3 linked regions of the Saccharomyces cerevisiae S288C genome follow. The protein of the gene in region 1 interacts with the protein of each later gene in a biochemical or structural test. Each region holds a gene or a part of one and is shown in the gene's direction. Other genes may lie near its edges. The genes, in order: OTU1, UFD2 and CDC48.

Region 1 (3,529 bases):
GAAGTGCCCCTAAATACAGAGACCAACGACGTACGCAAGAATTTAGTAGTGATTACAAACCAAAGTGCCGCCGATGAACACCCTACAGAGATCAAGCACGATCAATCAAGGACTTCTTCGACGTCCTCGTTCTTCAGTGGAATGATCTCTTCGTTTAAGTCAAACGTGCCATCCCCAGTTTCTAGATCAACTACGCCAACTTCGCCAGTTTCGCAACCAAGCATTATATCACATAGAAGGGAGCCTTCCATGGGGTCCAAAAGAAGATCAAGCCGCCGTATCAGTAATGCCACAATTGCTGAAATAGGCTCTCCCTTGCAACAGGTGGAAAAGCCTGATGAGGTCAAGACAAGACTCACTCCTTCCCAAATGAAAGAAGACAATTACGATCATAGACGATTCGTGGAAGAACGTTACATGGACACACCTTATCACTATGCGTCTGAGCAAAGAAATAAAGACTTTCATGAGACATTCAAGTCCGTTCCTAAAGATGACAGACTACTGGATGATTTTAATTGTGGGCTGAATAGAGAGCTGCTTTACCAGGGGAAACTATACATAACAGAAACGCATCTCTGCTTCAACTCCAATGTTCTTGGTTGGATTGCTAAAGTACTGATTGCGTTCGAAGATGTCACGTTTATGGAAAAAACTTCTGCTGCTGGGTTGTTCCCCAGCGCAATATCCATCGAAACAAAGATGGGCAAAACTCTCTTTAATGGTTTTATATCCAGGGATGCTGCATTTGGATTAATGAAAGAAGTGTGGTCAAGAACCTTGTTGCAGAAGGACATGGCCAGCGAAAACATCAATACTAAAGCAGAAAAGTCAGGAAATGGCAAAGAGATTGATGATGCAATAAACTCCATCGATGAGGAAAACAATGATAAAGACGCTAATGATAATGACACTAATGAAAATGACGATGAAAATATCTCTACAAATGAGACTACCCCCAATAGTACGAGTTCCTCGCCGGATAAAGAAAAAGAGAAAGCGTATAAACTGCGTGCCGATTCCTCGTATCAGTATGATGGTCCAATATATCATCATTCAACAAGCTTTCCGGCTGAACCTATGGCCAATAACGAGTTTGTTCTCAAGGAGTTACCATTCGATTGTGCACCTGGTATACTTTTTGAGATCATGTTCAACTCAGAGCAAAACGAATTTCTTCTAGATTTTTTACGGGGTCAAGAAGGTTCACAAATTACCACTATTCCAAATTTCACGAGCATTGACGGATCTTCCATGACTTTGAAGCGTGAGTATTCATACGAGAAAGCATTGCACTTTCCTGCGGGGCCCAAGTCCACGACATGTTATGTTGCTGAGGTAATAAAGAGAAAAGATCCTGATACTTACTATGAGGTTATCAGTAGCATACGCACTCCGAACGTGCCCAGTGGTGGTAGTTTCTCAACTAAGACAAGGTATCTAATCCGTTGGAATGACGAAATAACGTGTCTGTTACGGGTATCCTTTTGGGTGGAATGGACTGGTTCCAGTTGGATCAAAGGTATGGTTGAAAATGGATGCAAGAATGGTCAATTGGAGGCTGCGCAATTAATGGAGCGTATTCTTTCCAAGTTCATCAAGAACAATGTCGAAGAGTGCCAAATTACTATCAGCAAGGAGGAAGAGGAGCAAGATGATAAAGAAGTAAAAAATAAGTTGAAAGAGGTTGACCTTGAACAACCAAGAGAAGCGGTTGTTACGGCTCCCGCAATTGCAGAGCAGCAAGGTCTCAAGGTCACCATGGAAACATGGTTGTTCTTATACTTGATTGTGGTCGTTTTGCTATTGTTTAATCTGTTCTACATACGTTCAATTGCTGTCTCATTACATCAACTGGTGAAGCTGCAATTGGTAGAACTGAAGTTGTGATCTGTATTTTCTTCGTACCAATATATATCGTTTCTATAGGGCAATGGTAGTAACTAATAGTAAAGGGCGAAATAAGCCGATTTCAGTGGCAAATAACAACTTTTTCCTTTGAAAACAAGATAACATTGAAGAAGATAACCAAGAGAAGAAACTTTCAAGATGAAACTGAAAGTTACTGGAGCAGGAATCAACCAAGTCGTTACTTTGAAGCAAGATGCAACACTAAATGATCTTATTGAGCATATCAATGTAGATGTTAAGACGATGAGGTTTGGATATCCGCCTCAAAGGATCAATTTGCAAGGGGAAGACGCTTCTTTGGGACAAACCCAGCTGGACGAGCTGGGTATTAACTCTGGTGAAAAGATTACAATAGAGTCCTCTGATAGTAACGAAAGCTTCAGTTTGCCACCACCACAACCCAAACCAAAGAGGGTGCTGAAGAGCACTGAGATGTCAATTGGTGGCAGTGGAGAAAACGTCCTATCAGTACATCCTGTTCTCGACGACAACTCGTGTCTGTTCCATGCTATTGCCTATGGCATCTTCAAACAAGATAGCGTTCGTGACCTCAGGGAGATGGTCTCTAAGGAGGTCCTCAACAACCCCGTCAAGTTCAATGACGCCATATTGGACAAACCTAACAAAGATTACGCGCAATGGATTTTGAAAATGGAATCTTGGGGTGGAGCCATCGAGATTGGTATCATATCCGATGCACTCGCAGTAGCTATTTATGTAGTCGACATTGACGCTGTTAAAATCGAAAAGTTCAACGAGGACAAGTTCGACAACTACATTTTGATACTGTTCAACGGAATCCACTATGATTCCTTGACCATGAACGAGTTTAAAACTGTTTTCAACAAGAACCAGCCGGAATCAGATGATGTTCTAACAGCAGCTTTGCAACTGGCCTCAAATTTGAAGCAAACTGGCTATTCCTTCAACACTCATAAGGCCCAGATCAAATGCAACACTTGCCAAATGACCTTTGTGGGTGAAAGAGAAGTTGCTAGGCACGCTGAATCCACGGGACACGTTGATTTTGGCCAAAATAGATAATAAAATACGCATTTGGCGTTTATCGGTATACTCGTCATGAGACACGAAAAGTGGATAAAATGCATTCCTTTTGTCGTTGATGAAAAAAAAATTTGAAATATATTAAAATGTGCCGTTTTTTACGTGTTCTTTTCACTTATTTTTCTGTTTATATCGTCTATTCTTCTTGGCAAAGTATAAGATCTTTGACGAAAACTAAATCGACAATTTCCTTAGTACTTCTTTCTCCTTTTTTACCTATCTGCTAATATAACCACCAATAATGAGTATCGCTGAATTCGCTTACAAGGAAAAACCAGAAACTTTGGTTTTATTCGATGTTGATGGTACCTTGACACCAGCCAGATTAACTGTTTCTGAAGAAGTTAGAAAAACTTTGGCCAAGTTGAGAAACAAGTGCTGCATTGGTTTTGTCGGTGGTTCTGACTTAAGCAAGCAATTAGAACAGTTAGGCCCAAACGTTTTAGATGAATTTGACTATTCTTTCTCTGAAAATGGTTTGACCGCCTACAGATTAGGTAAGGAATTAGCTTCTCAATCCTTCATCAACTGGCTCGGTGAGGAAAAATACAAT
Region 2 (3,758 bases), on another chromosome or scaffold:
TCACGCTAAATGTTTAATTTATCAAATTTCATCTCTACCGAATCAGTATCCCTAGATGACGGCGAACCCTCAACACTAGCCCTACGAATTCCCTCATTCTTATTACTGTTACTGTCATCACTACGTTTCGGAATCGCACCAGAATATGAATTTTTTCCTTGAAAATGGTGGTACTTATTTGCTGAGGATCTTGTGTAATTGTTAGAATTATAGCTTGGTGTATTGCTATATGGCCCGCTGTGATACTGAGTGTTATATTGGTATTGATATTGATATTGGTATGGGGGATACATAGGGATTGGGGTGCCAAACGAACAGGACCCTTGGGGATTCATATTGTACATGTAAGGGTTCATGAAGACTGTGTTATTGCCCATTACCATGGGTGAAGGTGCAGGACCGGGGGCAGGACCAGCGGGGTTATACATTAGAGGGTAGGTTGGCAGACTATTGCCACCCATTTGGGGAGGAGGATACACAAGATATGGCGAAGAATATCCCGATTGGTAACCGCCGTTTTCTTTATTCCGACGACTTTGGCCTCTATAGGCATCTTTGTAATTGTTTGTTCCTCTTCTTCTTCCTCCTCTTCCTCTTCGACTATCATAAAATTGTTGTTGAGGTTTGTTTACTTGTATCGTCGTCACAGATGAATTGAATGGTGATGAAGAGCTAACTGAACCGTTACTAGTTTGTGTGTTAGAGTCATCTCCGTTCAACCAATCACTCCATTCATTGTCACTATCACTACTACCGCTACTGTTGGTTGACTTTACATCGTCTTCACTCTTGTTGAGCTTATCAAAAATTTCTTGTTTACGTTGTTCATAAAGTCTTTCCTTCTCAATTCTTTCTTGTTCCAAATCAGTACTAGATTTATCATCGATTTCGATTTTTTGGTCCTTATTTGAATTGGCTGTCAAATTGCTATTTGGTGTACGTGTATTGCCATCGATTTTATAATCGCACTCGTTACCTACCTCTTTCCGCTTTAAGATTCGAAATATTCTGTTATTGTTCGATTTTTCAATACTCTCACTTGAGGAAGCACACTCTTCCGGTTTTTTGTTCAGCTGCAACTCTTGTAAGAGTGGCTTTCCTTCAATCTTTTGGAAATTCTCACCTTTGAAAAGAATCACACAACTATCTTGAGTTCTTGCCAAAACATGGTTCAAGTTGTGGTACTCAGCTATTTGGTGCGATAGAAGCCTATAATATGAATTCATCGGTCTTAGCTGAAATGATTCTGTGTTTGAGTTTATGAATGACACTATGGAATTTTCCAGCTCTATTATAAAGATACGGTCCTGTGGTTTCTGGAACAAGCCCGTTTCCATAGCGGGTGTCAATCCCCAGTTTCGAGAATCTAGTGCTGTCATCACCTACTTCTGCCCTAACTCCTTATATACTTGAAGAGACTTGAATATCTTAGTTGTTAGTACGATACGAAATAACTAAAAAATTAATTAAAATAAAATAAATCGTGCGCCCATTATAAGATGCACGTTTCAACATACTGTCACCACGGCTTGCTGGTACAATATGGCTCAATTGCCTACGCCAAAACTTGTCGAGTTGTATGTGAAAGAAAGAAGAAACAGATAGGCTAACCCGCATATGACACTAGCCAACGCTTCTTAATCGATATTCTTATTATATCAATATTATTTTGCGCTTAACGATTCATCCTTTCGTCGAGGACGCTATTTTGTCAGTATTCGTCAGAGGCGATAGTCTGTCTTTATTACAAAAGGTGAATTGAAGATCAAAGGTAGATTCTAACCATTGGCAACAAAATAATAGAGGTGTACGCCGCAATCATTGTTAATCATTAAGTAATTGCCATTTTATTCACATTTTTAGACTCAACCACTTGCTGTTGCCACAGTAAACGTTAATTATATCTTTGAGAATTGTGTCAGCCAATAGAAAGGTAAAGTTGACCACAAGTTGTTTAAGGGGAAAAGTTAACTTTGAAAGTAGAACCCTCATTCCATAGATCATGACCGCCATAGAAGATATTTTACAAATCACCACCGATCCTTCCGATACCCGTGGCTACTCTCTATTGAAGTCCGAGGAAGTGCCTCAAGGCTCAACTCTTGGAGTTGATTTTATTGATACGCTACTATTATATCAACTCACCGAGAATGAGAAGTTGGATAAACCGTTTGAATATTTGAACGATTGCTTTCGCCGTAATCAGCAACAAAAAAGAATCACCAAAAACAAGCCAAATGCTGAGTCATTACATTCCACTTTCCAAGAGATTGATCGTCTTGTCATTGGCTATGGTGTCGTTGCCTTACAAATAGAAAACTTTTGCATGAATGGTGCTTTCATCAATTATATCACTGGAATTGTTTCTAACGTTAACTCATATACTGATTTCCTTTCCCAAATCATTCAAAGAGCCATATTAGAAGGTACCGCTTTGGATTTACTTAACGCTGTTTTCCCGACATTATTAGAATACTGTAATAAACATGTCAGCCATTTTGATTTGAACGAATCTGTAATTTACAATAACGTTCTTACCATTTTTGAGTTATTTGTTACATTTAAACCTATTGCAGAAATATTCACTAAAATAGATGGTTTTTTTGCAGACTATAGCTGTAAACCACAGGATTTTGAAAGGAAAACGATATTGGGGCCTATTTTATCTCTTTCTCCCATAGAAGCTGCTGTGGCAATCCGGAACTACGGCGATAACCTTTTGCGTTCCAAACAACAGACAGCCATGATCCATGAATCTCTACAAGCTGAGCATAAAGTTGTCATAGATAGACTCTTTTTTATTGTCGATAAGCTTGTTCGTGGCTCCTTAAACTCAAGGACTGATATGATTAGTTATTTTGCCCATATCGCTAATAAAAACCATTTACGTAGAGCCGATCATCCACCATTCAAAGAACTATCCTCTAACGGATTTATGTCCAATATCACTTTGTTATTGGTTAGATTTTCTCAACCATTTCTAGATATTTCATATAAGAAAATCGACAAGATCGACGCAAATTACTTCAACAACCCAAGTTTATTTATTGATTTATCAGGGGAAACACGATTAAATTCTGATTTTAAAGAGGCAGATGCATTTTATGACAAGAACAGAAAAACAGCAGATTCTAAGCCAAACTTCATCTCTGATTGCTTTTTCTTGACATTAACCTATTTGCATTATGGTCTGGGAGGTACATTATCATTTGAAGAGAAGATGGGATCTGAAATCAAAGCGTTAAAGGAAGAAATTGAAAAAGTAAAGAAAATAGCTGCGAACCACGATGTCTTTGCCAGATTCATTACAGCACAATTATCCAAGATGGAGAAGGCGTTGAAAACAACAGAATCTTTGCGATTTGCTCTTCAAGGGTTCTTCGCTCATAGATCTCTTCAACTAGAGGTTTTCGACTTTATTTGTGGTGCATCTACGTTCTTGATTCGTGTTGTGGATCCTGAACACGAATTTCCGTTTAAACAAATTAAATTGCCATTAATTCCGGACCAAATAGGTGTTGAAAACGTGGACAACGCTGATTTTTTGAGAGCGCATGCTCCAGTGCCTTTTAAATACTATCCAGAATTTGTTGTAGAAGGTCCAGTTAACTATTCTCTATACATTTCGAAGTACCAGACCTCTCCAATCTTCAGAAATCCACGTCTGGGATCGTTTGTTGAGTTTACAACAATGGTCCTCCGTTGTCCTGAATTGGTTTCCAACCCACATTTAAAAGGTAAATTAGTGCAGTTATTAA
Region 3 (3,758 bases), on another chromosome or scaffold:
CAGCAAAGTTGGAAACACCGATATTTTTAGCTTTACCTGATTTGTACAATTGCTCCATGTCCTTCCAGGCTTCCTCCAAACTTAACCCGTTGACCTCTTTGGAAACAAATGGGCTATGCAAAAGGTATAGATCGACATAGTCAGTGCCCATCTTCTTCAAAGCTAAATCTAGTCCATCCGCTGGGGAATCTGACATCTTGATTTGAGGTGAGTACTTGTCTGTCAAGAATATTGCATTTCTTGGTTTTTCGGTGAGGCTAAGTGCCTTCCCAACTTCTGGATATGTTCTGTAGATCTCAGCAGCATCAATGTGAATAATGCCAGGTAACTTCAGAGCATAAACAATCTGTTCGACCAAACTGTTCGAAAAGGTAGCATCCGTTTCTTCGTTTTTATACCATCTAGTACCTGTCCCAATGATGGCGATTGCGGGGATTTTATTTCCATTATTCAAGGTAAAGAACTGTTGGTGAAATGACATCTGTAAAAGTGTTGTTAACTGACCTCCGTTTCTTTAGGGTAACACAACCGTTTACATGTGTATCCATATCCACGTAGTATCCGACTATCAATATATCCGTATATATATATATATATATATGGGATGAGCGTATGTGAGTGTTTTCGTAGATATTCAAAATACGAGTAAAGGAGATCCTAGGTGTGGATTAGTAAGGGGAGTGTGGCAACTTCCTTTTTCCGGTTAATTCTCCGCGCTTTCGTTAGACTATTTTGCAAGGACCCAAATAGGAGACGCATGGAGGCTTCTACAAAACAGCGTGCCGTTTTGATGGCATGAGCAGGGGGCGCAAAGGAAACACCGGTAAATCGCGCAAGACCTTGTTGGCCACGTAGCCTCAAAGGTTGAATTGACACTTGTCTACAGAACTTGAAAAGTACAAAAGGAGGTCACATAAAACAGTAAGCTTGAGAAGCTTTAAGATATGGTGCGAATCGTTACAGAATATTCCTTGCAGAAATAATGGCGGGTCCGTTCTCTTCTGAAGAAGTTACCGCCCTACTGAAGCATTGCTGTACGATCGTGTAATGTGATGTGTGTTCGACTGGAAAGCGGAGAACATTATGAAGTAAAAGGACAATCAGCACGCCTTCCAGACTTTTAAGAAACATTGATGGAGCCATTGATATCGGCACCGTACCTAACAACAACAAAAATGTCTGCTCCTGCTACGCTTGATGCTGCCTGTATTTTTTGCAAGATTATTAAAAGTATGTCACATTACTAATAAAGAGCTTACACTCACACCAATGATGGCGATAGTCTCTATGTAGTACATATACATAAAGCAGAATACTAACAATCGATCCGCTATGCAACAGGCGAAATTCCATCCTTCAAATTGATTGAAACAAAGTACTCGTATGCTTTCTTGGACATCCAACCTACTGCTGAAGGTCATGCTTTAATCATTCCTAAGTACCATGGTGCGAAGTTGCATGACATCCCGGACGAATTCCTTACCGATGCTATGCCGATTGCCAAGAGACTGGCCAAGGCAATGAAGTTGGACACTTATAATGTGTTGCAGAATAATGGTAAAATTGCGCATCAAGAAGTCGACCACGTCCACTTCCATTTGATTCCTAAGAGAGATGAGAAAAGTGGTTTGATTGTAGGGTGGCCAGCCCAAGAAACGGACTTCGATAAGTTGGGCAAGCTACACAAGGAATTGCTTGCCAAACTAGAAGGCTCCGATTAGAGTAATGCATGCTATGATTTCTTTTAGCGTTTTCTTTTCATATTTAAGTTTATACATATGGGTGTGTTTGCTTCCATTCATATCCACTCTATAATGCTAACAATCATGTTACTAGCCATCGTTGCTATCGATACCTTATGAACAGCTCTAACTCCTTCCTTTTTAACCTACCGCCTTTTGCGCACTACCCGGCAACCCCTCGAATGTGAATTCGGTGGCAAAAAAGGACATATATCAGGGCCGTGTATTTAAGAGATCCGCAGTTGATGTAGTCAATTAATCTAGTTCTATTAAGATTTGACTCAACGCCATTGACTCGATAACTGGCTCAACTACAAGACAGATATACAAATCATGGGTGAAGAACATAAACCACTTTTGGACGCCTCGGGTGTCGACCCTCGTGAGGAGGATAAAACCGCCACCGCCATTTTAAGAAGAAAGAAGAAGGACAACATGCTTTTGGTGGACGATGCTATCAATGATGACAATTCTGTCATTGCTATTAATTCTAACACCATGGACAAATTGGAATTGTTCCGTGGTGACACCGTTCTCGTTAAGGGCAAGAAGAGAAAAGATACTGTCTTAATTGTGTTGATCGATGACGAATTAGAAGACGGAGCATGCAGGATAAACCGTGTAGTTCGTAACAATTTACGTATTAGGCTGGGTGATTTAGTTACAATTCATCCTTGCCCCGATATCAAATACGCTACTAGAATTTCTGTGTTACCAATTGCTGATACGATCGAAGGTATAACTGGTAATCTTTTCGATGTTTTTTTGAAGCCTTATTTTGTGGAAGCCTACAGACCAGTGAGGAAAGGCGACCATTTTGTTGTCAGAGGCGGTATGAGACAAGTCGAATTCAAGGTTGTGGATGTCGAACCTGAAGAATATGCCGTCGTTGCTCAGGATACTATTATTCACTGGGAAGGTGAGCCAATCAACAGGGAAGATGAAGAAAATAATATGAATGAGGTGGGTTACGATGATATTGGTGGTTGTCGTAAGCAAATGGCTCAAATTAGGGAAATGGTTGAACTACCATTGAGACATCCTCAGTTGTTCAAGGCTATCGGTATCAAGCCACCAAGAGGTGTTTTGATGTATGGTCCCCCTGGTACTGGTAAAACCTTGATGGCAAGAGCTGTTGCTAATGAGACCGGTGCCTTTTTTTTCTTAATTAATGGTCCAGAAGTCATGTCAAAAATGGCTGGTGAATCAGAGTCTAACTTAAGAAAGGCCTTTGAAGAAGCCGAAAAGAACGCTCCAGCCATCATTTTTATCGATGAAATCGATTCTATAGCTCCAAAGAGAGACAAGACTAATGGTGAAGTTGAGAGAAGAGTTGTCTCTCAATTGTTAACTTTAATGGATGGTATGAAGGCAAGATCTAATGTTGTTGTCATTGCTGCTACCAATAGACCAAATTCGATTGATCCCGCTTTAAGAAGATTTGGTAGATTCGATCGTGAAGTCGACATTGGTATCCCAGATGCTACAGGTAGACTTGAAGTTCTACGTATTCACACCAAGAACATGAAGTTGGCTGATGATGTTGATTTGGAAGCATTGGCTGCTGAAACACACGGTTACGTGGGTGCTGATATTGCCTCTTTGTGTTCTGAAGCTGCCATGCAACAGATCCGTGAAAAAATGGACTTGATAGATTTAGATGAAGATGAAATTGATGCAGAGGTGCTCGATTCTTTAGGAGTCACCATGGACAACTTCAGATTCGCATTGGGCAATTCAAACCCATCTGCATTGCGTGAAACCGTTGTTGAAAGTGTCAATGTTACTTGGGATGACGTTGGTGGCCTAGATGAAATCAAGGAGGAATTGAAGGAAACTGTAGAATACCCAGTCTTACATCCAGACCAATACACAAAGTTTGGGTTATCACCATCAAAGGGTGTGTTGTTCTACGGTCCACCAGGTACAGGTAAAACTTTGTTAGCAAAAGCTGTAGCTACTGAGGTTTCTGCCAACTTTATCTCAGTCAAAGGTCCAGAATTATTGAGTATGTGG

Evidence for each region.
Region 2: the proteins of OTU1 (region 1) and UFD2 form a complex in vitro, tested with the Saccharomyces cerevisiae proteins (one study listed by BioGRID).
Region 3: the proteins of OTU1 (region 1) and CDC48 form a complex in vitro, tested with the Saccharomyces cerevisiae proteins (3 studies listed by BioGRID).

The regions. Positions count from the first base shown.
Region 1 is NC_001138.5:44,081-47,609, reverse strand, and holds OTU1 (ubiquitin-specific protease OTU1), read left to right. Parts: upstream 1-2,049; coding exon 2,050-2,955; downstream 2,956-3,529. Other genes in the region: LAM5 (Lam5p), read left to right, coding at 1-1,890; phosphomannomutase SEC53, read left to right, coding at 3,218-3,529. UniProt on the Saccharomyces cerevisiae protein: Hydrolase that can remove conjugated ubiquitin from proteins and may therefore play an important regulatory role at the level of protein turnover by preventing degradation.
Region 2 is NC_001136.10:119,837-123,594, reverse strand, and holds the start of UFD2 (ubiquitin-ubiquitin ligase UFD2), read left to right. Parts: upstream 1-2,002; coding exon 2,003-3,758. Other genes in the region: RBS1 (Rbs1p), read right to left, coding at 6-1,379. UniProt on the Saccharomyces cerevisiae protein: E4 ubiquitin chain-elongation enzyme specifically involved in polyubiquitin chain assembly.
Region 3 is NC_001136.10:236,982-240,739, reverse strand, and holds the start of CDC48 (AAA family ATPase CDC48), read left to right. Parts: upstream 1-2,075; coding exon 2,076-3,758. Other genes in the region: YDL124W (aldo-keto reductase superfamily protein), read right to left, coding at 1-481; HNT1 (adenosine 5'-monophosphoramidase), read left to right, coding at 1,134-1,230, 1,342-1,721. UniProt on the Saccharomyces cerevisiae protein: ATP-dependent chaperone which probably uses the energy provided by ATP hydrolysis to generate mechanical force to unfold substrate proteins, disassemble protein complexes, and disaggregate protein aggregates.